Caenorhabditis elegans: one gene and its partners. The protein of the gene in region 3 interacts with the protein of the main gene of each other region in a pairwise test. Each region holds a gene or a part of one and is shown on either strand. Other genes may lie near its edges.

Region 1 (7,740 bases), on a different chromosome or scaffold from region 3:
TAACTTCAAAGCTCCATAACTTGGCCTAAAATGGTCCTAGAGCTCTGAAATTTTTACTATTTAGATTAGAAAGTATAAGTGCTTCCTTGACATCATTTTGGTGCCTTGGCGCAATTCTCGTGTATTGGCGCAATCATGGTGCATCGACATGGAATTTTGAGAACAAATTTATTAACTCACATTTACAAGACCGGTAACATCACAATAACAAAAAAGAAAACAAATCAATACTGAAACTTGAGCATATCCTTCAAAATCGGATCATCCAACACATCGTACACCGTAATCTCTATATATGACGTCACCATTTCGTGAACCTCGGCCATTGCGATCCCCACTGCCAGTACAATTTCCGATGCACGGATAAGTGCGCTGTCATGACCCTCGTCATCACAAATTAGTAGAAGAGTTCGGAAAATGTCATCTCGTTGTCTGGAGCATATTTGCTTGCCGGTACACTGTAGTTTGTAGTAGTCTGGAATAGGGGGTGTTAGGCTTAGGCTTAGGCTTAGGTTTAGGCTTAGGCTTAGGTTTAGGCCTAGGCTTAGGCTTAGGCTTATTCTCAGGGTTAGGCTTAAGCGCAGGCTTAGGCTTATGTTTAGGCTTTAGCTTAGGCTTAGGTTTTGATTTAGGTTTAGGCTTAAGTTTAAACTTAAGTGTAGGCTTAGGCTTACGCTTAGGCTTAGGTTTAAGCGAAGGCTAAAGCTTATAATTGGGAGTAGATTCAAGCTTAGGCTTAGGCTTAGACTTTAGCTTAGGCCTAGGCTTAGGCTTGAACTCACTATAGTGCCAGATAGTCAGAGCTTTGAACAATGAAAACTCGGCCAGCGACATGTCCAGTTTTTTCATCGGTTCACAAACATGAAGCCACTGCCGGACCTTCATCGAAGTGAGCATTCTGCAAAAAATGGAGCTTGATATGCAGAGCTTGACGGGGTTTTTCACCGACTTGAACCTATCGTAATCCTCATCCGAATGGAAATTCCCGCTGTCCCTTTGATTTTCGACCTTCGGCATTGGATTCATTGGAAGGTACTCGCCATTTGCGGTGACTAGCACATCTTCTGTCGGGAAGATTCTGGAAGTAGTAGGGTTTTTTTAAGTATTAAATTTGAACTACGGTCATTCCAATGCTAAACTAGATTAAACATCAGATACAAGTTAAATTTTTTTTGGAAAAAAAAAATTCGAAATTTAAAAAAATCCAAATTTTTTGAAAAGTTTCATTATTTTTTGAAAAGTTTCATTGGTCAGTTTAGTATCCTAAGAGTAGTTTTTTTGGCCATTAGTCCTGCCCGGATTCCATTTTTACACATACACTTGACTATAATAGGATTGGTCCAAAAGCACGTCGACTGCGGCGGCGGTTCGAAATAGGACGGTCTGGAAGGAAATTTGAAGTTTTGGACAGTTTTAGCTAAGAAAAACGGGTTAAGGACTTAAAAATACAGTAGAAAATGTTTTTTTTTTCTAATTTTGAATCGGTTTATCGGGGTATAGCACTTTGGTGAAAATTAGAAATTGGACGAAAAAAAATTTTTTTTTGAAATTTTTTTCCAAAAAAAAAAGTTCCCACCTTCTCCGACTTGGACAAACTCTCGAATTCTGGAAATCGATTGATATAATCTAAAATCATTGTATAATCATTCCGATTCTTCTGCCGATAGGTCCGATGGTCGAATAGTTTCAGATCAGCTTTGTCGTACGGCTGAAAAAACGAAAAATTGGAAAACTTTCAGATTAAGCTTCTGAAGCTCGTATTTTGAGAGATTTTCAAACAGAAACATCAACAATTTTTAATTAAAAAATTTATTTACTAAAATCTCAATTTTTCAAAAAAAAAAAATTTTTTTTTGAATTTTTCAAAAAAAAAATTGTTCTGAAACACTACAAAATTACACTTATTCGAACCCAAATTTTATTCCAAATTTGAAAACCAGCATATGAAAAGTGCCAACAGAAACCTGACAGGGTTACTGTAGTTTTTTTTGCAGCTGGACTAACACAGTGATCCGAAATTTCAAGTTTATCAGAAATATGTCATGATTATACGAAAAATGACTGGGATTATGTGCTGAATTCAAAAAATATGAGTTCATACAGCCTAAAAAACTAGTTTTCGGAAAATTTGCAATTTTTAAAATGTTCGAAAAAAAAAATTTTTTTTTTGAAATTTTGAAAAAAACAAATTCCTTAAAAAATACTCAAAAACTCACACAAACACACGGAGCATCGAAAACTGATCCTAAAAGCCTGTCGGTATATGTTATCCGCCTACGCATATTCAAATTAATCACTTGCTCCGTGTAAAGACCGGCCAATCCGAATAACCTCTCTTCTTCCTCCATTCCAGTGACGTAGGCTGAAAATTTCGAAGGGTTTTAGTGCTGGAAATGCTTCGAAACATAAAATTTTGAATTTTTCATGATTTTCCGGATAATTTGAGTATATTTTTGGAATATTTCTTATTAAAAAATTTTTTCGAAAACAATTTTTTTTCCAAAATTTCAAAAAAAAATGTTTTTCGAAAGTTTCAAAAATTATAAATTTCCTGAAAACTAGTTTATAGGTTGTCTGAATCTAATATTCCTCAAATTCAGCACTAAATTCCGGTTAATTTAAGTATAATCATGACATATTTCCGATAACTTCGAAATTCTTCCCAGATACAAAACCTACCGTAACTTTGTTAGTTGTGTAGGAAAAATTTAAATATGCACATTTTTAAGCTCAGGATAAAATTTGAGTTTAGATAAGTCTAATTAAAAAATTTTTCTTGAAAAATTCATTTTTTGAAAAAAAAAAATTTGTCCAAAACTGAAAAAAAATTATTTTTTATTTTTTCAAAATCTTCTTTCTAACAAATTTAAAATTCACCAGAAGCTTCTGATATCGACGTCATTCTCGATCGAATCTCATCAGAATCCGTAAAAATATCCGGAAAATCGTCGACACCGGCGGGAATTTGAATAAATTGCTGGAGCTCATCGATTCCCATCAGATTTTCACTCATTTTCCGTATTTTTGGTGACGATGGGTACGGATCCATTTCGTTTTCCGATGCTTGCCATGGGAATTGATCGAAATCTGGAAATTTAGCTCTGAATTGGTGGAAAACTCTCGAAACTTACAATTTGAAGGTCCTGGCTGTTCAGGTGGCGGAGAGAAAAAATCTTCGGATTGTGAAGAATTTCTCGAGTTTTTTCCTTTATCAGATTTGATTTCTCGTTTTGCTTGAACCACTGAAAAAAAAATCAGAGCTCTAGGAGCATTTTGAGGAAAGTTATAGAAGTTTGAAATTAGGGCAGTGCGTTGCGGTCGCGTCGCGGTCGGGCTATTTATATTAACTTTAATATGTGAAGCATTGCATTGCAAAACTAGAGTTTGAATTTCAGGCCTGGACGATCATTTTGAACAAAGTTATGGAGGTTTGAAAATTAGGTGGTGCGTCGCGGTCGCGTCGCGGATGGGAGGAGAATTTCAAGTCGTCATAACTAAGCTCAAAATGATGCTAAGGCTCTGAAATTTTTTATATTCTATGTAAAATTGGCCAATGTCCAATTCGCAAAGACTTCGGGGGTCGGCGCATTTTTCGTGTCTTGGCGCATTTTTCGTGAGTTGACGCATTTTTGGTGCATTTAAAAATCATAATGCAAATGTTCTCCAACGTCCACAAATAAATTTTCAAGCCTAACGGACAATTTTGAGCAAAGTTACAAAGTAGTGAAGTTTGGACAGGGCGTTGCGGTCGCATCGCGGTCGCTTAACAAACTTCAAAACGTTGTAACTTTGTTAAAAATGATGCTAGAGACTTGAAATTTGAGCTGTAGCTTCTTTATTCAATTTTCAAGGTCTTGACGCAATTCTAGTGCCTTGACGCAATTCTAGTGCACTGGCGCAATCATGGTGCATCGACAAATCAACTCACAATCCCTCATCATTCCTGCTTTTTGGCATTTTTTAAGTCGACAATGCCTGCAATTGAGGCGGAGAGCTTAAATTTTCAGGTTTTAATTTTTTTGGGGGGAGAAATTTGGCTCACTGTGGTCAATTTTGCAGGAATGTACCCCATCTCCGAGACACTCGTAGCACTGATCCATGGCAATACTTCTACGGAAAAACGCAGCACAAGCCTGGAAATATTGGGTCTCGAAAGGTGAAAATATTTCAATAATTTTTCAATATTTTTTTTGAAAATTTGGAAAATTTTTTTTTTTTTTTTGTTGAAAATTTTTAAATGTGTATTTTAAATATATTAACCTAATTTCCCAACATTTTGAGCACTTACCTTGCAGGATTGTGCTCCAAAATGGTAGTTTGTAGCATTCGGGGAGTCACACACCATACACTTCCCACGCACCATTTTTATGCTAAAAATCGATAAATCAAGGAAAATTGCGGGGGAAAAATGATGAAAATAATAGGAAAATAATACTAGAATCATAAAAAAAAATCAATTTGCAAAAAAATTTTTTTTGAAATTTTGAAATTTTTCAGAGAAAAATTAAATTTTTTTTTGAAAAATTATTTTTTTAAATAAATTTTTTATTGAAGAATAATAATAAAAACCTATTTTTATTTCAAAAAAAAAACTCAAAACCCCCATAATTGATCAAAAATCAATGGATAACAGCAGAAAAAAAACAGAAAAAACAGAATAGAGGAGATTTAGAGAAAAAGGGGATAAAAGCGCACATGCAGGTGCTGTTTTTATGTGCTCTAAAGGCTGGAAATGTGAGCAAATTGTGTAAAATTATGTTAGAAAAAGTTAATTTGAGATTAGGAATTTTTCAAAAAAAAATTTTCAAAAAAAATTTTTTTGGTTTCAAAGTTTTCTAAAAAATTTAAAGTCATAATAATATTAATTCACACTAAAATTTTTTCACAAATTTGCATCACCTTCTTTAAAAGTACATATATAATAAACACACCACCACCGCCACTAACACACGCTCCCCAAGCTATTGATCAATAGACTACAGATAAGGAGAAAGAAGAACAACGTGATGGCCATCACCGTATCAATGTATTCTATTTTGATCGGGTCGCCCTGTGAAGACAACAGAAACTACAAAAAGTACAAATTGAGCGGCTGCACGGAAAAAGCGTCAAGGCACGAGAAGTGCGCCAGGGCGCCAAACTCTTGTCAAAGGTAGAAACTATTGGTTTTATCTTACAGTTAAAATTTCTGATTTCTAGGATAATTTTGAGCAAAGTTATGACGTTTTAAATTTTCGGGAGCAACCGCGACGCGACCGCAACGCAACCTTAAAATTTCAAATGGCCGTAACTTTGTTTAAAGTTGTCTTAGAACTCTAAAGTTTTTATGAAATAACATTTAGTACAACGCATTTAACAATTTGCACTAACGCACTGAAAGAGCGCCAACTCACGAGAAATGCGCCAACGCACGAGAAATGCGCCAAGGTCCAAAACCAAAAATTTCAAATATATAGATAAATATTTTGACCAAAAGGCCACTGTTCAAACTTCAACTCTCTAGGACCGTTTTAAGGTGAGTTATGCCACTTTGAATTTGAGAGCAGCCGCGACGCGACCGCAACGCACTATAAAACTTAAAATGGTCATAACTATGTTCAAAATTGTCTTAGAGTTTTGAAATTTTTTATGACGACTATTTATTCGAAATTCAATAAAATAGTTATAGTTGGCGCATTTCTCGTGTCTTTGCGCGTTTTCCGTGCGTTGGCGCAATTCTCGTGCAATTATTTATAATGGGTAAAATGTAGAAAAAATGTGTGTTTGAAGAAGTTTTTGATCAGATTATACATCAAAGAAGCCATAAACCTCCCACATTCTCATTGATAGTTGATGAAAAAGTTCTTTGATATTGGCGGAAATATGCACTTTGATAACGGGAGTGGTTAGATATGTAGAGTATTTTCAGGTACCAAAACTACCCTAACTTTGTTCATATTGCTCCAAAAACTACGAAACGCAATTTTTTGAAATCTGGATGAAAATTTACATCGATAAAATTTTAAAAATCAAAATTTTAGAAAGACAATTTCCAAAAATTCGAGTTTTCAAAAAAAAAAATTTTTTTTTAAATTTTTTTTTCGAAAATTTTCAAATCTTTTAATACAACTGTAGATACTTTTTAAAACATATTTAAGCAATTTTTACATCAACTTTTTATTAATTCACAACTGGAAGTCTATCCAAAATATTATAAAACACGGTCATAAGCAACACAATATTAGTTATAACAAAATAAGCTCTCTCAATATTTTTCCGATTCACACTGAAAATTTGGACAACTAGGTTGACTGTGCGATTATTGATTGATCGATCCACCATACTGCGGTAGGTAGTGTAGATTTGTGGATCTTTGGAATGATGGACATACTGGTCGTCCATAAGGACTGTGGAGGTGTGGAGCATCTGGAAATTGATTTATTTCAAAAAATTCTACTAGTTTTGGTTTTAGAAATCAAAATATTTACTAATTTTGAAAAAAAATTCCAAAAAAAATTGTTCAAAAAAAATATTTTCGAAAATTTTCAAAATCTTAAAAAAATTTTTTTTTCTAAAAGTTCACACCTTTTAGTTCATCAAATTTAAAATTTTACGCAGATTCCAAAAAAATGCATATCATAGCTCCCAGAGCCATATAAACTGAGTTACGGAAGTTTTGTTAGTGAACACTTACCGCTTCTTGAACCAAAGCTGGTGGATACATCAAATTAGAAGAAATTATAATGCAACAAATCATTAATCCAATCATACAAATGTAGTAGTATGTGTCTATTAAGGAGCCCAAACTGAAAAAAAACTAGATTTTCAGATAATTTCGCCTTTAAAACTCACTTTGTGAAAATAAAAGTTACATTAGCCAGAGCAGTCAATATTAAAAACGGAGCAGAACTCATGAAAGGCACTGAAATTTCAATGAATTATTGATTTTTCTGGAAAATTCCAACTTACTAAGCCGGGTGGTTAGTGCATTTGTGTATTCGAACATTTTGATCTGACGGTCGGCAAATGTTTGGAAAATTGCAGGGTTCTGGAAACAAGAGTTTACTGCAGAAAATTTTGTGAATAGAAAATTTTGTGAATAGGGTAAAAAAATTCGAGACTCCACGACAATTTTGAGCAAAGTTATAACAGTTTAAAGTTTACAGAGTGCAACACGGTCGCGTCGCGTTTGAACTCTTAAGCTCCTTTCCAAAATAAATCACCTGATTGAGAATAAATGAAATACTTCACACAAAAAATTTCAGAGCCCTAGGAGCATTTTTAACAAAGTTACAACTATTCAAAGTTTGGGCCATGCGACGCGGTCGCGTCGCGGTCAGACCAGAAACTTCAAACGGCCACAACTTGGCTTAAAATGATCGTGAAGCTTTGAAACTTTCACAATTTTCCATGCATTGCACTATTTAGTAAATCTCACAAAATTAAATTGCTGGCGCATTTCTCGTGCCTTGGCGCATTTTCGGTGCAAATACTAAATCCACATTTTTCCGTGTTAAAATAATCATCATGTAGCATTAAGCTGTCAAATAAAAATTCAGGCCTCAAAAATAATTTTGAGCCAAGTTACGATCCCTTAAAATTTTCAACGTGCGTTGCGGTCGCGTCGCGGCCCCTCTTGAAACTTCAAACAGACATAACTTTGCTCAAGATGACTCTAACGACTTGAAATTTTCACATCATGATATTTTAGTATTTTTTGTCAAATTTTCAAATTTTTCAAGCCTTTTGACTACTGGCGCA
Region 2 (7,740 bases), on a different chromosome or scaffold from region 3:
CTATTAAGAAACATGTTCAAAAACCAAAAAGAGTTTAGACCATTATTGTATGGCTCGTTCAAGACGAGCTCACAATGAAGCAGTATTTTTTTATCCACTCAACCAAAACATTTAACAGAAAAAAAACATCAAAATTACATTGAAAATGCCCCGAAACTGCGCGCGGATATGTCGCGTGACACGTTAACAAACTCGCCATGCAAATTTCCGTTTCAATTTTATTTTTGTGTGTCAGAGATGGTGGGAAAGACATAACAAAAAGAAATGAATTAGAGTCGTCTCTCTTCGGTTTTTGTCATTTACAAAATGAGAAGACATCAATTGGGATTAGGTTACTAATGGAATAAATGACACATACAATGGCTTTATGCCGAAAAAATTAGGAAAAAGTATGTTTACCACAACAAAAAAAACATTAAGTTCAAACTTGGGCGTTGTACCTGAAAAAGGAAGTTACATATATCTTTTATATATATTCCTGAAGTCAAGCCTCAAAAATGTCAGTGAAAGCTGGTGAATATATTTTTTCATATGGGCAGACTGTATATCTTCAAATTTTATTCAACTGCGCTCCAGCGGTTGCCAAAATGTTTTGGTTTGGCAAGGTTTGGTTTTAATTGTTAATACCGCATGCAAATAGTCTGGGATTTGAAAATATCTCATAATGTATGAAAAAAGTGACAGATGTTTCCTGAAAAACTATCCAAAATTTGATAACTTTGGCGTTTTCGAAAAATTCCAGCAATTTTGATGGTTCACAATGTTTTTTTGACAAACGTCGCGTTTGCTGATTTTAAGAAATTATAGCGTTTTTTTTTCTTATTCTCCTTCTTAAACTGATTACCACCTTTCGCCATTTTTCATTGAGAAATTCGAAATTTATTAACGATACATAATTTCAATACAATTTAAATTCCAAAAAAGTCAAACATTTGGCTTAAAAGCAAAAACCGGTTTACACACATTTCAAGACACTAAATTTCTAGCTGTTTAAAACAAATAAAAACAAAAAAAATCAAGTTAAAAGCTCTAATTTCTTAAGTATTTTTCAAATAAGTATTAGTGAAATTTCAATTCAAAAATTAGGTGGAGTGGGGGTAGAACAAATCGAATCATTTTAAAAAATGTACATGTATTCAGAAATTGAGAGGAAACATTTGTTAAAGTAAAAGCCATTTTCCTTTATCTTCTTGATAAAACACCGTGGATTGCACCAATTTTCGTGAGACCACCGTCAGATGTTCCAGGTGATAATGAGAGTGATAAACTTCGATGTTGAGGTGATGTTGATGGAGACGTGAGAAGCTGGAATTTACAATTGTTTAAAAAATGTTACTAAGAGGGGCGGGCAAGTATTTTGGTTGGATAGAAAGAACATAATTCTAGAGGTCAAAAATATAGTCCAAAATAAACCTAGTAAAGAAATATTTCCAATTTTAAATGAATGTCTGTAATAGAGATGTGCGGCTTTTGGAAAATTCGACTAATACCAAGTGCCAAACAATTGGCAAAATGTCAGTGTTAGTTAATTTCTAACTGTCAATTAAACTAGTGATTCCGTTCCTTTGGTTTGTCTATAGTATTCCTTTTTATGCATGAATTAATCAAAAGTTTTCTTTACTAATTGTAAGTAATAAATGCCAAATTTTTAAACTTAATTCATATCTTACCTCTGCTCTCGTCAACACTCCTTGTCTGAGACCCAATGCTAATGACTGTTCGGCATGTCTTGGTTTCAGACTCTGAATCATTCTGACTCCGTATGCAGCACTGAAATCCATCCATGATGTTTCATTTGATTGACGACGGTCCTGTAATGAGAGAGTTTGGTTAGATAAGCACTTCAATCAATATTTTAATAAAAACTGTTAACATGACAGGGCAGCTACCGAAAAGTTAATGTACTTGAGGGGAGGTTTGGACTTCCAATAATCAAAACTTTGTTTCAAACCTCCCTCATTTGATAATTGATAGAAAAGGAAAGAAGTAGACTACCTGAGAACCGAAAAACTGTTGCTGATCGATACCTTTCCGCTGACAAAACGCCGCAAACTCTTTTTGCACCTGAAACTAACATATCCGATTAGAGTTAGTATAAAGCTCGGTTAAAGTGCAAATCACCTCTTCCCTAGCCTTGATTACTTTCAAGGAGATATCCAGATCACGAGTTCCAGGCATTCCCGGTTGTCCTAGTTTTGACTCTGCGTAAGACGATGCGTCATAAATAGTTGTAGATGGAACATCGAAACTTTGAGCATGTGGACGATTACCTGAAAATAGACATGACTAATGTCAATCGACGCAAAATAAGAAAATTTACTCACCTATATGCAACCGTTGTAACTTGCTCAAATTGCTCTTACTCGGGCTGCTACACGGGATATACTTTCGTGCCACAATCGGTGTGGACACGGCTTCTTCGCTGGGGAAGCTAAGTTGGTTGGTCTAAAAAAAAATTTTTTGAAAATTTTTTTTGCCTAATAAGTTTTACCTCAGCATAATGTGCGTTAATGCCAGAGACCGAAGGAGTTGTGACATCGTCGTCCTGTATCGTTGGAGTAGAATCACGATAGATATCTGTGCATGAAGTGCTCGCATCACAGAGAGCCGCCAGTTTTGATGAGGTAGCAAAGATAGGCTCTGCGATCGAGGGAATTTGATACTGGAAGAATATATTATTATTCGAGTTGTGTAAGTCGAAATTGTACCTTTTCTGAGTGTTCAATCTCAGCTGCCAAGCTCATTGGACCACCTGCATCAATTCCACTATCATTTGCATAGCTATCTCTCCCCGTAAGAACTGTCAATTGTGTTGTGCGACCCGCTGGTGAAAACTCGGAGTTTTCCATTTCAGACGCAAGGGAGTCATAGAGAGAGTCATAAGACACTGAAAAATTTGAAGAATTCAGTCAAGTTGATGTTGTATAAATCTTACTTCTTAAGTTCCCGGTACTTCTGAGCTTATTCAACTCGGATTCAGTTTCCGCAAAATTAGCCATGAGCTCCGCGTATTGATCCTGCATCTCTTTGTGCTCAGCTTGCATTGTGTCATGTCTTTGGATCATCTCAATGAGTATCGCACCCATTTCTTCTTTTTCCATTGAGATCTGCAATAAAAAATCGTTTCTTGCAGCTCGCAAAGCATCTAAGAACCTACCATTCTTTCTTTCTTATCCTTATCCGCCAGTTCATTCATCAGCTTTCCAGTGTTCTCATATTGTTGATTGAGTTCTGTTGTTTTTTGTTCAATCAACTTTTGCAAGCTGATCACTTTGTCATTTGTGTAATCCAACTGTTTTTCTAGCAGGTATGAACTATTCTTCTGAGCAGTGACTATAGCGGATTCTTGCCGGAGAAGATCACATTCTTGGCGAAGTCTTAAATTGTGAATATGTGAAATTTTGGTCAGAGCACGTTCCTAGCATATGGATGTGCTTCAGAACATAAGTGAGCCTGCAAGCGGCAAGAGCGTGAAGTGAGAGTGTGAAAAAAAAAAGAACATAGGATTTTCAGTTGAGCAATCACCAAAAACCCAAAGTTATTCGTGGCAACGGAGCTTGAGAGGCTCTGAGAGCAATAATGATGGCATTATCAGGATCTTTGTTTTTTAGACTATCAATCGTTCCCCTTATCCAAAAACTGCACAATTTTGAACTCGATCGCCCACCCACTATCAATTACGCTGGCTTATTTGATTATTTGACAAACCTCTCGTTTTCCGATTTTGTGGATTTAAGCCGTTCTCGGAGTGCCTCGTCGCTGTTTGACCTGCAATTGAGTTTTTTTAACTTTGAAAAACGAAGAAGCAAGAGAACAAGATTTTGATCTCCACGCCACGCTTGATATAAATTTAGTAAGTTGTTTATTCCACAACGAATATTAACACAATGACCAACTGTGATTCGGCTCTTTCTTGTCGAAAAGTTTTAAACAAAAATCTTACCTTGGTAAACCATCATCATCTAAATGTGAGTAGACCCTGAGTAGCTCAATTCGTTGATTAAGCTCATGTTTCAGTTGAACAATTGTGTCCAGGTTCTTGTTGACACTCTCCTCGAGGAACTCATTTCTGAAAACATTGATTTTTAGAGCTTATTTTTAGAACAAGGAAATAGTCCCTATTTTCTAGAACTTTTATTCGCATACTAATCCTATCTTCCCTCCACTCGTCATTAAAACAAGTGTAATTGATACTTGAACTCGGTGGGCTTAATTAGAAAACACTCACTTTGTCTGAAGATCTTTGTTCTGCTCCAACAACGATTGGCCAATCTTAGCCGCAAGCTCAAGATCGTGATTTTTCTGAAAAAAACATGTTTTAATAGTTGAAGATCATGAATTCAATACTAAAAAATAAAATCGAAAACATTTTATATTTCTTTGTTTCACAATGTTTACTCTACAATTTTTACCATTCGATTTTTTCGATTACTAAAATAAGTTTGAAATAAGAACAAGTTAAGGCATACCTTTTCTAAAATAACCATGAGACCATTGCAGTCGAGCTCGTTGAGAGCACACGACGGATCAAGTGGAGAGGAGTTTCGAGTTGGAGTTGGGCTCATTCGGCTGACAGCCCAAACATTCGAAAATCTGGAAAATAAAAACTATTAGACTGAAAGGATTCAAGATAAAATGGTTATCAAATTTGATCTATGGAAAACGAAAAATCAAGGGGGAGAACCTCAAGAAAAAACGATAAAAGCGGACGGGCGGCACTAGTGAAAGAGAATTAGAGAAAAAATGGGAGGAAAGGAAAGGTATACTCATTGTTTCTTTTTCAAACTGTTTGACTGTGAGAGAAAGAATGTATGTTTGTACTTTTAGTACCGTTAAGTGAAAAGGTATCGAGGAAAAGAGAGAGGAAACGAACATGTGTTTGATTATAATTTTAATAGTCGTTTGGAAGAAAAACAACGGTATATAAAGAAGACTTTCATGCGTTTAATTCTATTCATTCCCAGAGCCAGGCCTGTGCGGCTTTTCGCAATTTTCGACATATGCCAAATATCGCACAGAGTGTTTCCAACCCACCGAGAATATCCGAGAAAATAGAGAACTTTGCCACTATCATAAAATGAGAAGATTGCATTTTCAAATTAATACCGTATTTATCTTGGCTCATTTTGTGTAGATCAAAAATAATTAACTACAACCCTATATATGGTACAACGGTTTTTTTCTAATTTTCAGGTAAAATTTTTTGATATAACAAAACATGTTCACTGCCAAAGTGGTGCAACTTACTTTGTCGAAAATTCAGGGTTTTTCATATTTTTGTATTTTCACGATAAAAAATACAACAAAAATGAAAAAAGAAGAAAACACCTCGTCAGCATAGCTTTCTTTACTAATCCTTATAAATCCGAATAGCTTTTGAATGAAAATGGGAAGATGAGACAGACATTGTGACTAAGAAGCAGGAGTGGGTGAATGATGCGGAAACGTTCTGTTCGGGCTACGGGAATTTCTGGTTATCGTTTCAGATAAATTCTTTGATTTGATGCTCGAAACTTAGAAATTTAGCGGCTTTCCTATACATATTCCTAAGCACACAAACAAACGCACACGAATATATTATATTCAAATCAAAAGAGGGGGATAGGTGTCGGTTTGTCGTGGTTGAGGAAGGGAGGTGCTCAAGTTTAGCTAAACAAATCCTCAAGCCATATGACAGCTTGCGAAAAGGAGCATGAGAAGGTCAGGTGCGAAAATCGTAATGTTAAAGGTTGTCCTTCTAGCCTCACCCTCTGTCAAAGGATGGATGTGGCCGCCTGGTGACGTCACTCTTCTTCCTGGGAGTCAACCATGATGGGACACGCTCCAAAATCGTAATAAACTACAACAACTTCTCACCATGAAACGGTAAGACGTGCGAATGGTTAAACAATGTGTAGCGACAGGAAATTGGAAGACATGGGGGTAGTATGGGTAAACATGTATTGTTGGTAGTCACTTATTTGCGGTATCTTTTATGTATTTTAGGGTTTTCAAAAAGGCGGGCTTTGAAAAACGGAACACATGGGTGTGAAAACTAATGCTCAAGGTTAACAAAAAACTACACGTAACATTTCGTTTTTCGGTTTTGCAACAAATGGATGTAGGTTTATCCACAAGACTTCAAAGTAAGATGGTCATATTTGGAATCGTATTTTTAGAGTGGATTATCAGAGAAATTTAAACGACAAAATACCTATCCCTTAAATTTTTAATTGAACTTTACTTATTTTAATCACCACAGAATTACCCCGACAATGGATTTTTGCAGACTCTTCATAACTGAAATGTTGCTCAGAGAAGTGCAAAATTTTTGAAATCTTTTTTGAATAAAACTGATAGAACATTTTTCACACAACACAGTCCAAACAATTCTGATTTTTTTTCCGAGAAAATATCAATTCCCAAAAAGTGTTATAAAAAACATTTCTGGCTCCTAAAAACAACATTCACTGAAAAATTTTGAGATTAAAAATTCTGGAGGTAGGTGTTGGGTTTCGCAGTTTCCTGTGATAACCTACATAAACTAAAAAAGAGTTCTAGTATAATAAGACATGTCTCGTTTTAAAGTCTGATAGTAAAATGACTATTTTCATTATTAGAATTATTAGATTTACTCCCTAGTTTCTGAACTTGTTGCGGTTATAAGGTCACATGGCTTTACATCAGAAAAGGTAAGAAACAAAAAAAGAGACAGAAAAACGTTCCGCAACAAAATCGAAAATTAGTAGTTAGTCGCCCACTTTAATCTGGTCTCATCATGTGGCAGTGAAGAAGAATGGAAATCAGAAATAATGGGTCAAATTAGCAACAGTTTTGGAAGATGGAGGAGAGAAGAAAACAATAATGGGGAAGAATGACGTCAACTTCAAAGGAGCTTCTCTGGGTGTATCGATCGCTTATGAGCCTTTTTTGTTTTTGAAAGTAAAACATTGCAATTGCAAATAAATTGCTTAATTTCTGATGGAAGAGACACGTTAGAGGCTATGACACTGATAAGGTGAACACTACAAACAAATTGGATGATATTTAGAGGGGGTGTCACTTGAGGCGCGTCGAGCTGGAAAATTTGGCGACCTAGATGATAAAGAAAACGATTTGAAGGAAACTCACAATTGCTCCAAAACGTCCATGGAAAATCAGTACTTAGCACCACGTAGAAATATTATTAGTATTACTCACAATGAATTGAACTAAAATTTCGAAAAAAAAATTGGTTTGTGCGGGTTGAATGTTGAGTCAGCATAACATTTTGTAGTTAGATAAGGATCCGTTATTAGAAATTAGATTACTCCTAATTGTAAGCAACCATTTGACATTTTTCAGCTTCTCTTGTCCAAAGGAAAAAAAAATCACAAGGCGTGGAGCACAGCATATTGTTGGAGAGCTCTTTCTGTTTGCTCTCGATTTCTGCGCCTTTTCTTTTTTTTTGATTAACTACAAAAAATAAATTGAAAAGCATTCCTCCCACCGGCAGGCAGACAAAACACGTTGTTGTCTGGTGAATGAGCATTGTATTCGGCGAAAATACAAAAAATTGGAGAAAAATTAGAAATTTTGGTCATCAATGTAGCTACTTTGCTACGTGGTCGCGAACAAAAATTGGTGGCCGAACTTCCCAATTTTTAATTTTTTTTTAAATTAAAAAATTCAATGTTCCTAGTTGAAGGCAATGTTATGAGAAACAGAAAAAACAATTTGTTCTGGAAAATAGAGGAAAGGTTTGATAAAAAGGCATCGGGT
Region 3 (7,740 bases):
CAAAAGAGCTTTGTGAACTAATGAGCCATGAATCTGTAGGATGCTCTTGTTTCCAGGTTTCTTTCTGTTCATCGGAGATACGTTGAACCTAAAAATATTTTAGGAATTCCCAGTTGAAAAAGCTCCCGAAATGCCAGATTTCACAATAATCCAACCAGATCGGAAATTTGATGGTGATAATGGTATTGTCTAGGAGTTTTTTTAAAGTATTTTCAAAATTTTTCAGCAGCGGCAGTAGCTGGAATATTTGTACGCAGCTCTACTTCGTCATCATTTCCTAGTGCATCATCCTATATTGCAGCCAAGAAACGAAAAAATGTAGATAATACAAGTACTCGAAAACCATATTCTTACAAGGACCGAAAACGGAAAAATACAGAAGAGATCAGAAATATTAAGAAAAAATTATTTATGGATTTAGGAATTGTTCGAACAAATTGTGGCATTGATGTGAGTGAATTTTGAAATTAAAAAAAAATTAAAAATTGTATTTTAGAACGAGAAGCAGGATCGAGAGAAGGCGATGAAGCGGAAAGTGACAGAAACAATTGTAACAACCTACTGTGAGCTCTGTGAGCAGAATTTCTCGAGTTCTAAAATGTTGCTTCTTCATCGCGGAAAAGTTCACAATACTCCATATATCGAATGCCATCTATGCATGAAGCTCTTCTCTCAAACAATTCAATTTAATCGGCACATGAAAACTCATTACGGACCGAACGCTAAAATTTATGTTCAATGTGAGCTCTGTGATAGACAATTCAAGGACAAGCAATCGTTGAGAACCCACTGGGATGTATCACATGGTTCCGGAGATAACCAAGCAGTATTGGCATGAACTCGTAGATTATTTTTATTTCGTGTAAAATTTTTTGTGACCTATGCAGACTCTAATACGTTTTTTATTCAATAAACTCGAATTATATCTTTAAATTTGTTCTGATATCTGCAGTAGACACAACCCATTGAACAACTGACAGTTAAGTAAACAATACAATGCAAAATTAATTTATTAAAAACAATTGAATTCGATGGAATTTATTATTTGTATAATATATTCGAACGAATGCAATTGAATAAATTAAATTTTTTTTCTAAAAATCGATCGCGAGCAAAAATAGCAACGCTCCGAAATCCCGCAACGCGCGCTGTTTATCGTAAATGCACACCAATTTTTCTCCGCTGTTCTTATTATTATATATTAATTTTTCTCCGCTGTCCTTATTTTTTCAACGCATTTTTTGGTTCATATTTTAATTTCTCCAGATAATGAAAAGAAAAAACCAAAAAGAAGACAGCGACACGGAAAACGATGATGAGGTATTTTCATTTTACAAAAAGTTTACATTTGACTTATTTGTATTAAATATTCAGATTGAGCCAGCAAACGGAGACGGAATTGAACAAGAAATGAATAGAGTAACAAACGGAAATGAGGATGATGAATCAGTGAGTTTTAATCAATTTGTTTTCTTGGCGAAATTGAAAGCGAATTTTATAAAAAATCCTGTTTAATTTTTGACTTTTTGAATTTTTGAAGGTTGGCAATGATGTGGCAGAGCCTATGGAAACAGAAGACGTAGAAGATTCTGGCGAAGTTGAAATTGAAGAAACTGCGCAAAATGGTGAACGAGAAATATTTAAAGTGCTCGGAAAACAAGAAATGAAGAATTTGGAGGCACTAAAGTGAGAATAATTTAATTAAATATTTTGAATAGAATAATTCAATTGTAACTAAATTGATGATTTGCAGAGTAACGAGTTCCTGGGTTCAAAACGCCACTACTTTCTCAGCGACAATCGATTCTTCAACATCACAAAAACTTTCTCAAATTGAGCTTCCTGAGCATCTCACAGTCCCATCTGCAATTTCAACATGGTTTCCAGTTCAGTATGCCGTTCTTCCATCTCTTTTCTTTGAAATCCGATCACCACCACCACTACGTCCACGTGACGTGGCGATCGCAGCTCCAACTGGAAGTGGAAAGACAATTTGCTATGTGCTCCCAGTTCTGGCGGCTGTCGGGAGCAAACCATCCAAAATTCTACAAGCTGTTATTTTAGTACCAGTTCAAACACTTGTTGCACAAATTGTGGACGAGTTCAAGTATGTATTAAGTAACATTAAAATGTATGTTTTAATTCTGATTTTAAGACGATGGAATGACGAAAGTGGTGTTGCAAAAGTAGTATCACTTAGTGGAGCAAACGATTTTGAGAAAGAAGCTCGTCAATTGGCATCAGATCCTCCTAATGTTATCGTGGCAACTCCAGCGAGACTTGTGCAACACCTCACTTCAAAAATTCCACCTCCGATTGACCTTTCAAAATTAAGATTCTTGATTGTGGATGAAGCGGATCGAATGGGAAAGCTTATGAGAGAAGAATGGTTGGATTTAGTAGAATTCTTATGCGGTGGAATGGAACGAGTGGCTTGTTTAAAAGATATTATTAGACAAAGAAGAGCTCCTCAGAAAATTGTTCTGTCTGCAACACTATCGAAAGATGTGGAAGAGCTTCATCTATGGAATTTGTTCAAACCGAGATTATTTTCAGCAACAGCAGTTTCTGTAAAGGATGTGAGTGTTTTTAAAAATTATAAAAAGTACATCAGAATTCATTTTGATATTTTCAACCGAACCAAATTCGTTTTTTTTAAATCGTCATGCAAAATATTTTCGTTTATTTTACTTTTTACAATTTTCAGATCACATCTGGAATCCCTCAAGTTGATCATGTATCTGGTAGACTTGCCCTTCCTTCTTCAATCTCTCATCGCCTCGTTGTAACGGATCCAAAGTTCCATCCGCTAGCAGTTTATCAACAAATCACTAGAAATAAATTCAACAGGACTTTGATCTTCGTCAATGAAGTTTCATCATCAAATCGGCTCGCGCACGTTCTTAAAGAATTGTGCAAGGATCAGTTTGAGGTAGACTATTTCACGGCTCAGTTATTCGGAAAACGACGTTACAAAATGCTCGAAAAATTCAATAAAAATGAAAACCGAGTTCTGATCTGCTCGGACGTGTTGGCAAGAGGAACTGATTTGAACAAGGTTGATTGTGTCATCAACTACAATTTGCCTGCCGATGACAAACTATTCGTGCACAGAGCAGGAAGAACTGGAAGAGCTGGACAAGATGGATATGTGATTAGTGTTGGAGATAAGGAATCAAAGAGACTTTTCGTCAAAATGCTAAAAGTTACAAATTTATGGGGAGATACTGTAGAAGAGCAAATGGAAGAGTACATTTTTGAAAAAGATATGGATAGGTAAAAAATTAAAAATTAAACCTGAAATCATCATCAACATTTTTCAGATACTCAAAAGCTTTGGAAAGTCTCAAAGCAACTGTCTCGTCACAAGCGAAAACCGGAGGAAGCAGACAAATTGCTAAACGATCCGGATTTGAAGCAAAGAGAAAAAGTCGACCAAATGCTCGCGGAGAGAAGCCTTGGCTCAAAAAGAAGACGACCGAGTGATTCTATTTTTGTTGATTTCCTTTTTTTCTTGTTATTTTTATTGTTGAACTCAATTTTTTCATTGTTGGTTTTTTAAAGAATTACAGTTGTTTATTTTCATGAATATTCATTTTTTAAATATAAGTTTTCAATACTTTTTTTTCAATTTTTTACGGAGTGGTCTAGACAACCTTCTTAATACTTTGGAAATTCTAAATAATCAATTATACGCTTTTTTGCTCTTTTTCAGATGAGCAGCTCCGGGGTGATAACCCAATTGGTCACTGATGCCTTGTCGATGAATGCAGCTCAGGATTGGGAAGATGTATCTCTCTTCACACCTTATCTCAGTGAGCAGCCTTGGTGTTTTTTTTGCGAAATTATATAATATTTCCAGATGACCAAGCTCTCATGTACGATTTTGCTGATTGCCTCGCCGTTCAAACATTCCTTCGAATGACTTCATTGCCATTCAATGTTCGTCAACGACCGAATGTAGATTTTATTTCTCCTGATGGTTAGATATTGAAAGTACTGAAATCCTCGAATGCAGATATAATTTTAAGGAGTCGTCCCACTTCTGAAAATCAACAAAACTCTCATCACAGGGTTCAACGCCATTGTCGACTTCGTGCATAAGAAAGGAGTCACTCTTACATCACATCTCAGCGAAACGCAAGTTGCCGACATGAGAGCTAATATTTCGATGATCGAACATCTTCTTACCACTGTCGAGGTAATATTCAATGAAAAATTTATATATTAGACAATTATCGTCAAAATACTAAAAACAAAAAAAAAACCAAATAAGTCCCATCCCTGATTGTGCCACGTGGTTCCATTATTTTTCTAAAAGAATATTACTGTCAAAAAATAGAAAATCTGAAAATATTATTCATTTCGGCTGAAACATTTGAAAATGTTCTCAAAAATTGAATAAAAGTTGACGGACAAAGAAAAAACAATGCTTCAAAATCGGCAATTGACAACTTTCAGGGTATTTCCGAGAACTTTCTCAAATGATTCAGACAAAATTAATGTTAATTTCTATATTTTTATACAAATTTTAATTTAAAAAAATGATAGAAATTTGCCCAAAACAATTGCCGCTCGAAATATATCTTGAAATTTCGATTATTTTTCTTATTTTCAGAATTTTGTTAAATTATTTTATTGTTAAAACTAACGTTGGTAAAAATTTAGAAACTGTTTCCTAATTTTTTTAGGATTTTTTCCGAAACAATCAAACATTTTCGGTTTTTGATTATCTATTAAAAATGAAATAAATTGAAATTAATATAGCTGTTTAACTTTTAATTGAATTTTTTCAGAAGTTTGTACTCTGGAACCACGACGAGACGTACGATAAGGTGACAAAGTTGAGATACGGAAGTGTTTATCACTGGCCACTTTCGTCTGTCTTGCCTTTTGTTAAGCGTCGAAAGATTCTTGAAGAGTTGTCTGATAAGGACTGGGACACCAAGGTATGTAAATAGGTTATTTTTGAATTTCCCTTAAAACTCCTTTCTTTCAGACAATGGACGAAGTCGGTGAACAAGCCGATAAAGTTTTCCGTGCTCTCTCTGCTCAACTGGGAAGTCAAAAATATCTAACTGGAGATCTTCCAACCGAAGCTGATGCTTTACTCTTTGGACATATGTACACATTGATAACTGTCAGATTGCCATTGACAAACATCACAAATATTCTGAAGAAGTACTCCAATTTGATTGAATTCACGAAAAGAATCGAACAACAGTATTTCAAGCAGTAATTTTAGAATTTTTTCGTTTGAGAAGTGTATAGTAGTTCAACTATGATTTTATGGTGTGTTCAGATTGTTCTTAAGAAAAACGAATAAATTTTGATAATATATGTTTAACAACTTTTTAGAGTTACGCGATAATTTTTTTTAACTTGAAACATGAATATTTCAAAGCTTCAATATAAGATCCAATGAAAGAAAACTAGAAAAATAGTTATATTCTGTGGAGCTCGAATTTACGGTTATGATTCTTGTGGTTGCAATGTTTATAGATGTCGTTGTCATCACTTCTGGCTCTTTTTGTACATTTGACAAGCTGGCATAATTGTTCTTTTGACAGTTTCTCTGTATAGCTTCAAGTTATTTATCTTGACTTTTGCCATTGCCGTCTTCTCCTATATGTTCACACTGTAATAGCTAGTGAGTTTTAAGTTGTTAGTGATGTATGAAACCGCGTCATAAGTATACCGAAATCAATCGACAAGTGTGAAAGAAAATGTTGTATTAAGACAACATTTGTATTGATAATCAGCTTAAATATTGTATTAGTGAGGGTGATCTTTTAATTATTTAGTATTTCTTGCATAATAAATAGATTACTAAATCTATTCCTGAAAAATCAAGAAAAATCAAGTTTGAAAAATTTCTCATATTTGAAAAAAACGCAAAAATAATCGAATACAGAATGTATATTGAAAGAAACAACACCCATCGACTTTTTTTTTGCGATTTGTATGTTTTTTTAGAATTTTTTACTATTTTCCTTTAATATTTTCATTAATGCCTAGGTAGAACAAACACCTATAAGCATCGTATTCATCATTTTCAAAGATTCTTTATTTCCATTAGTTTTCATAGAAATGAAATAAATATTGACAGGGACATTGATTAGAACATAGCATACAATGAAGCCAAAATAGCAAGAATAAAAGAGTTTGAGACAGTTGCACCAGTCGTCTGTCCCCATGGATATCCTCCAACAACATCTTTACAATCACCATTTGGAATGGAAATACTTGGAAGTGGACTTATTGTTGGGATTGTGTTGCAATTTGGATCGACCCAGCACTTCAAGATTTGAATGATTTGGAATCTGGCATTGGTAACTGTATTTGGATCACAGGTGTTTGGTTGACGGAGATCGAGATGATGAGCAGATCCAGGAATTTCCAATACATAGATTCCACGAGCAGCATTGTTTTGATCAACTTTGTAGCCACCTCCGGACCATGGATCCAGGTGTCCTTGACTGAAAATTAAAAAAAAAAAACAAACAATTTTAAAAACATGATCTAACAATTTGCAAGAAACAGTATTTTTCTGTTTTCAAAACCATAACTTCAACAAAAGTTTTCGTGAAAAAAACCTTACGTCAAAATCAAGTTACTTGAACCAGAAAGATCATATCCGTAGAGAGTTTTCACTGCGTCGATGTTCCAGTTCTTTGGTGTCCATCCCATGCTGAAATTTATTTGTTTTGATTTTTAAAAGAGTTGAAGAATATGCTGTATGAATGTTTTCAAAGCTTCAATATTATTAAAACCTAGTCGGAAAATGCCTCAAAAAAGAAACCTAGGATCTTTAAATCTGGAACCTTTTAAAAATAGAAACACATCCTTGTTGCAATGTTTGGTAGATATCCTTTCCACATTCATTCCAGAAAACATCATTAGATCCTCCACTAGCACACATTGCCATTATAATCTCTGAACATTCTTGCCATGGCCATCCCAATTCGTCTCCTCCAAGACCACCAGTTCCTTGATCTCCACAAATTGAAAAATCAATACAATATGTGAAATTAGGATCTCTGTTATAGTTGTAATAAATATTAGCAGCATTTGCAACAGCTTTGACTAAATCTTTATCACTGAACGATGTTCCATTAGCATTCATATATCCACATGCAACTGTCACTGGCCATGCTGGAAGAGGTTCTAGGAATCCAGTTGGATATGGATAATCAACCATTGCCATATATTCAATTGCTTCTCTCAAATACGCATTCAAATTCCAACCATCTGTTTGATTCCTAATTTTAGTTCTTGGGTCTAGTTTGAACACGGTGTTGTTGTTGAGCCATTGTCTACCAGCATCTGGAAAATAATTGTACCAGTCAATCGAATTTTTCTCCTTTTTATACCAGTGCTAGAAAGATTAAGGGTAGCATTCCAGGCATTTGCAAGAATAAACCTATTGCATCCATTGTCAATGTAAGTTCTTGAAGTGATATGGTCGAAAGCTCCTGGATCAACACCACCTCCGTTCATGTAAATCAATGGAGCAGATCCTGCCCAAGCTCTGAAAAATTAAAGCAATACCATCAATTGTAGATATCAACTCACCCTTTAACAATATGTGGATACTTCTGTCTAAACCATGCAGACAACATTCCTCCATAAGAACCTCCAAATGAAATAACTTGTGTTGCAGCAGGGAACGTCATCTTGAATTGATTATTGTCTCTTTTCAGTTCAGTCAATAATTCTGCATAATCAGCCAGAGCCTGT

What was found.
Region 1: the proteins of mtx-2 (region 3) and nhr-79 interact in a two-hybrid assay, tested with the Caenorhabditis elegans proteins (one large-scale study listed by BioGRID).
Region 2: the proteins of mtx-2 (region 3) and trak-1 interact in a two-hybrid assay, tested with the Caenorhabditis elegans proteins (one large-scale study listed by BioGRID).

The regions. Positions count from the first base shown.
Region 1 is NC_003283.11:19,207,526-19,215,265, forward strand, and holds nhr-79 (Nuclear hormone receptor family member nhr-79), read right to left. Parts: upstream 4,371-7,740; 5' UTR 4,364-4,370; coding exon 4,289-4,363; intron 4,134-4,288; coding exon 4,043-4,133; intron 3,995-4,042; coding exon 3,929-3,994; intron 3,243-3,928; coding exon 3,132-3,242; intron 3,088-3,131; coding exon 2,878-3,087; intron 2,363-2,877; coding exon 2,217-2,362; intron 1,709-2,216; coding exon 1,577-1,708; intron 1,384-1,576; coding exon 1,319-1,383; intron 1,079-1,318; coding exon 950-1,078; intron 899-949; coding exon 783-898; intron 544-782; exon of another isoform or gene 490-543; intron 476-489; coding exon 225-475; 3' UTR 161-224; downstream 1-160. Other genes in the region: srr-2 (Gustatory receptor), read right to left, coding at 6,160-6,405, 6,674-6,785, 6,832-6,901, 6,949-7,027. UniProt on the Caenorhabditis elegans protein: Orphan nuclear receptor.
Region 2 is NC_003279.8:6,119,975-6,127,714, reverse strand, and holds trak-1 (HAP1 N-terminal domain-containing protein), read right to left. Parts: upstream 4,594-7,740; 5' UTR 4,566-4,593; coding exon 4,470-4,565; intron 4,303-4,469; coding exon 4,229-4,302; intron 4,070-4,228; coding exon 3,944-4,069; intron 3,769-3,943; coding exon 3,709-3,768; intron 3,378-3,708; coding exon 3,158-3,377; intron 3,108-3,157; coding exon 2,936-3,107; intron 2,888-2,935; coding exon 2,709-2,887; intron 2,663-2,708; coding exon 2,492-2,662; intron 2,446-2,491; coding exon 2,325-2,445; intron 2,271-2,324; coding exon 2,122-2,270; intron 2,071-2,121; coding exon 1,996-2,070; intron 1,812-1,995; coding exon 1,671-1,811; intron 1,306-1,670; coding exon 1,183-1,305; 3' UTR 856-1,182; downstream 1-855.
Region 3 is NC_003281.10:7,759,579-7,767,318, reverse strand, and holds mtx-2 (Metaxin-2 homolog), read left to right. Parts: upstream 1-3,715; coding exon 3,716-3,815; intron 3,816-3,862; coding exon 3,863-3,982; intron 3,983-4,031; coding exon 4,032-4,201; intron 4,202-4,796; coding exon 4,797-4,949; intron 4,950-4,999; coding exon 5,000-5,239; 3' UTR 5,240-5,342; downstream 5,343-7,740. Other genes in the region: Putative zinc finger protein ZK686.5, read left to right, coding at 1-56, 104-182, 227-450, 497-838; Putative ATP-dependent RNA helicase ZK686.2, read left to right, coding at 1,270-1,320, 1,375-1,449, 1,541-1,686, 1,754-2,107, 2,156-2,579, 2,708-3,276, 3,324-3,486; Putative serine protease pcp-1, read right to left, coding at 6,119-6,479, 6,602-6,691, 6,825-7,326, 7,374-7,531, 7,576-7,740. UniProt on the Caenorhabditis elegans protein: Involved in transport of proteins into the mitochondrion.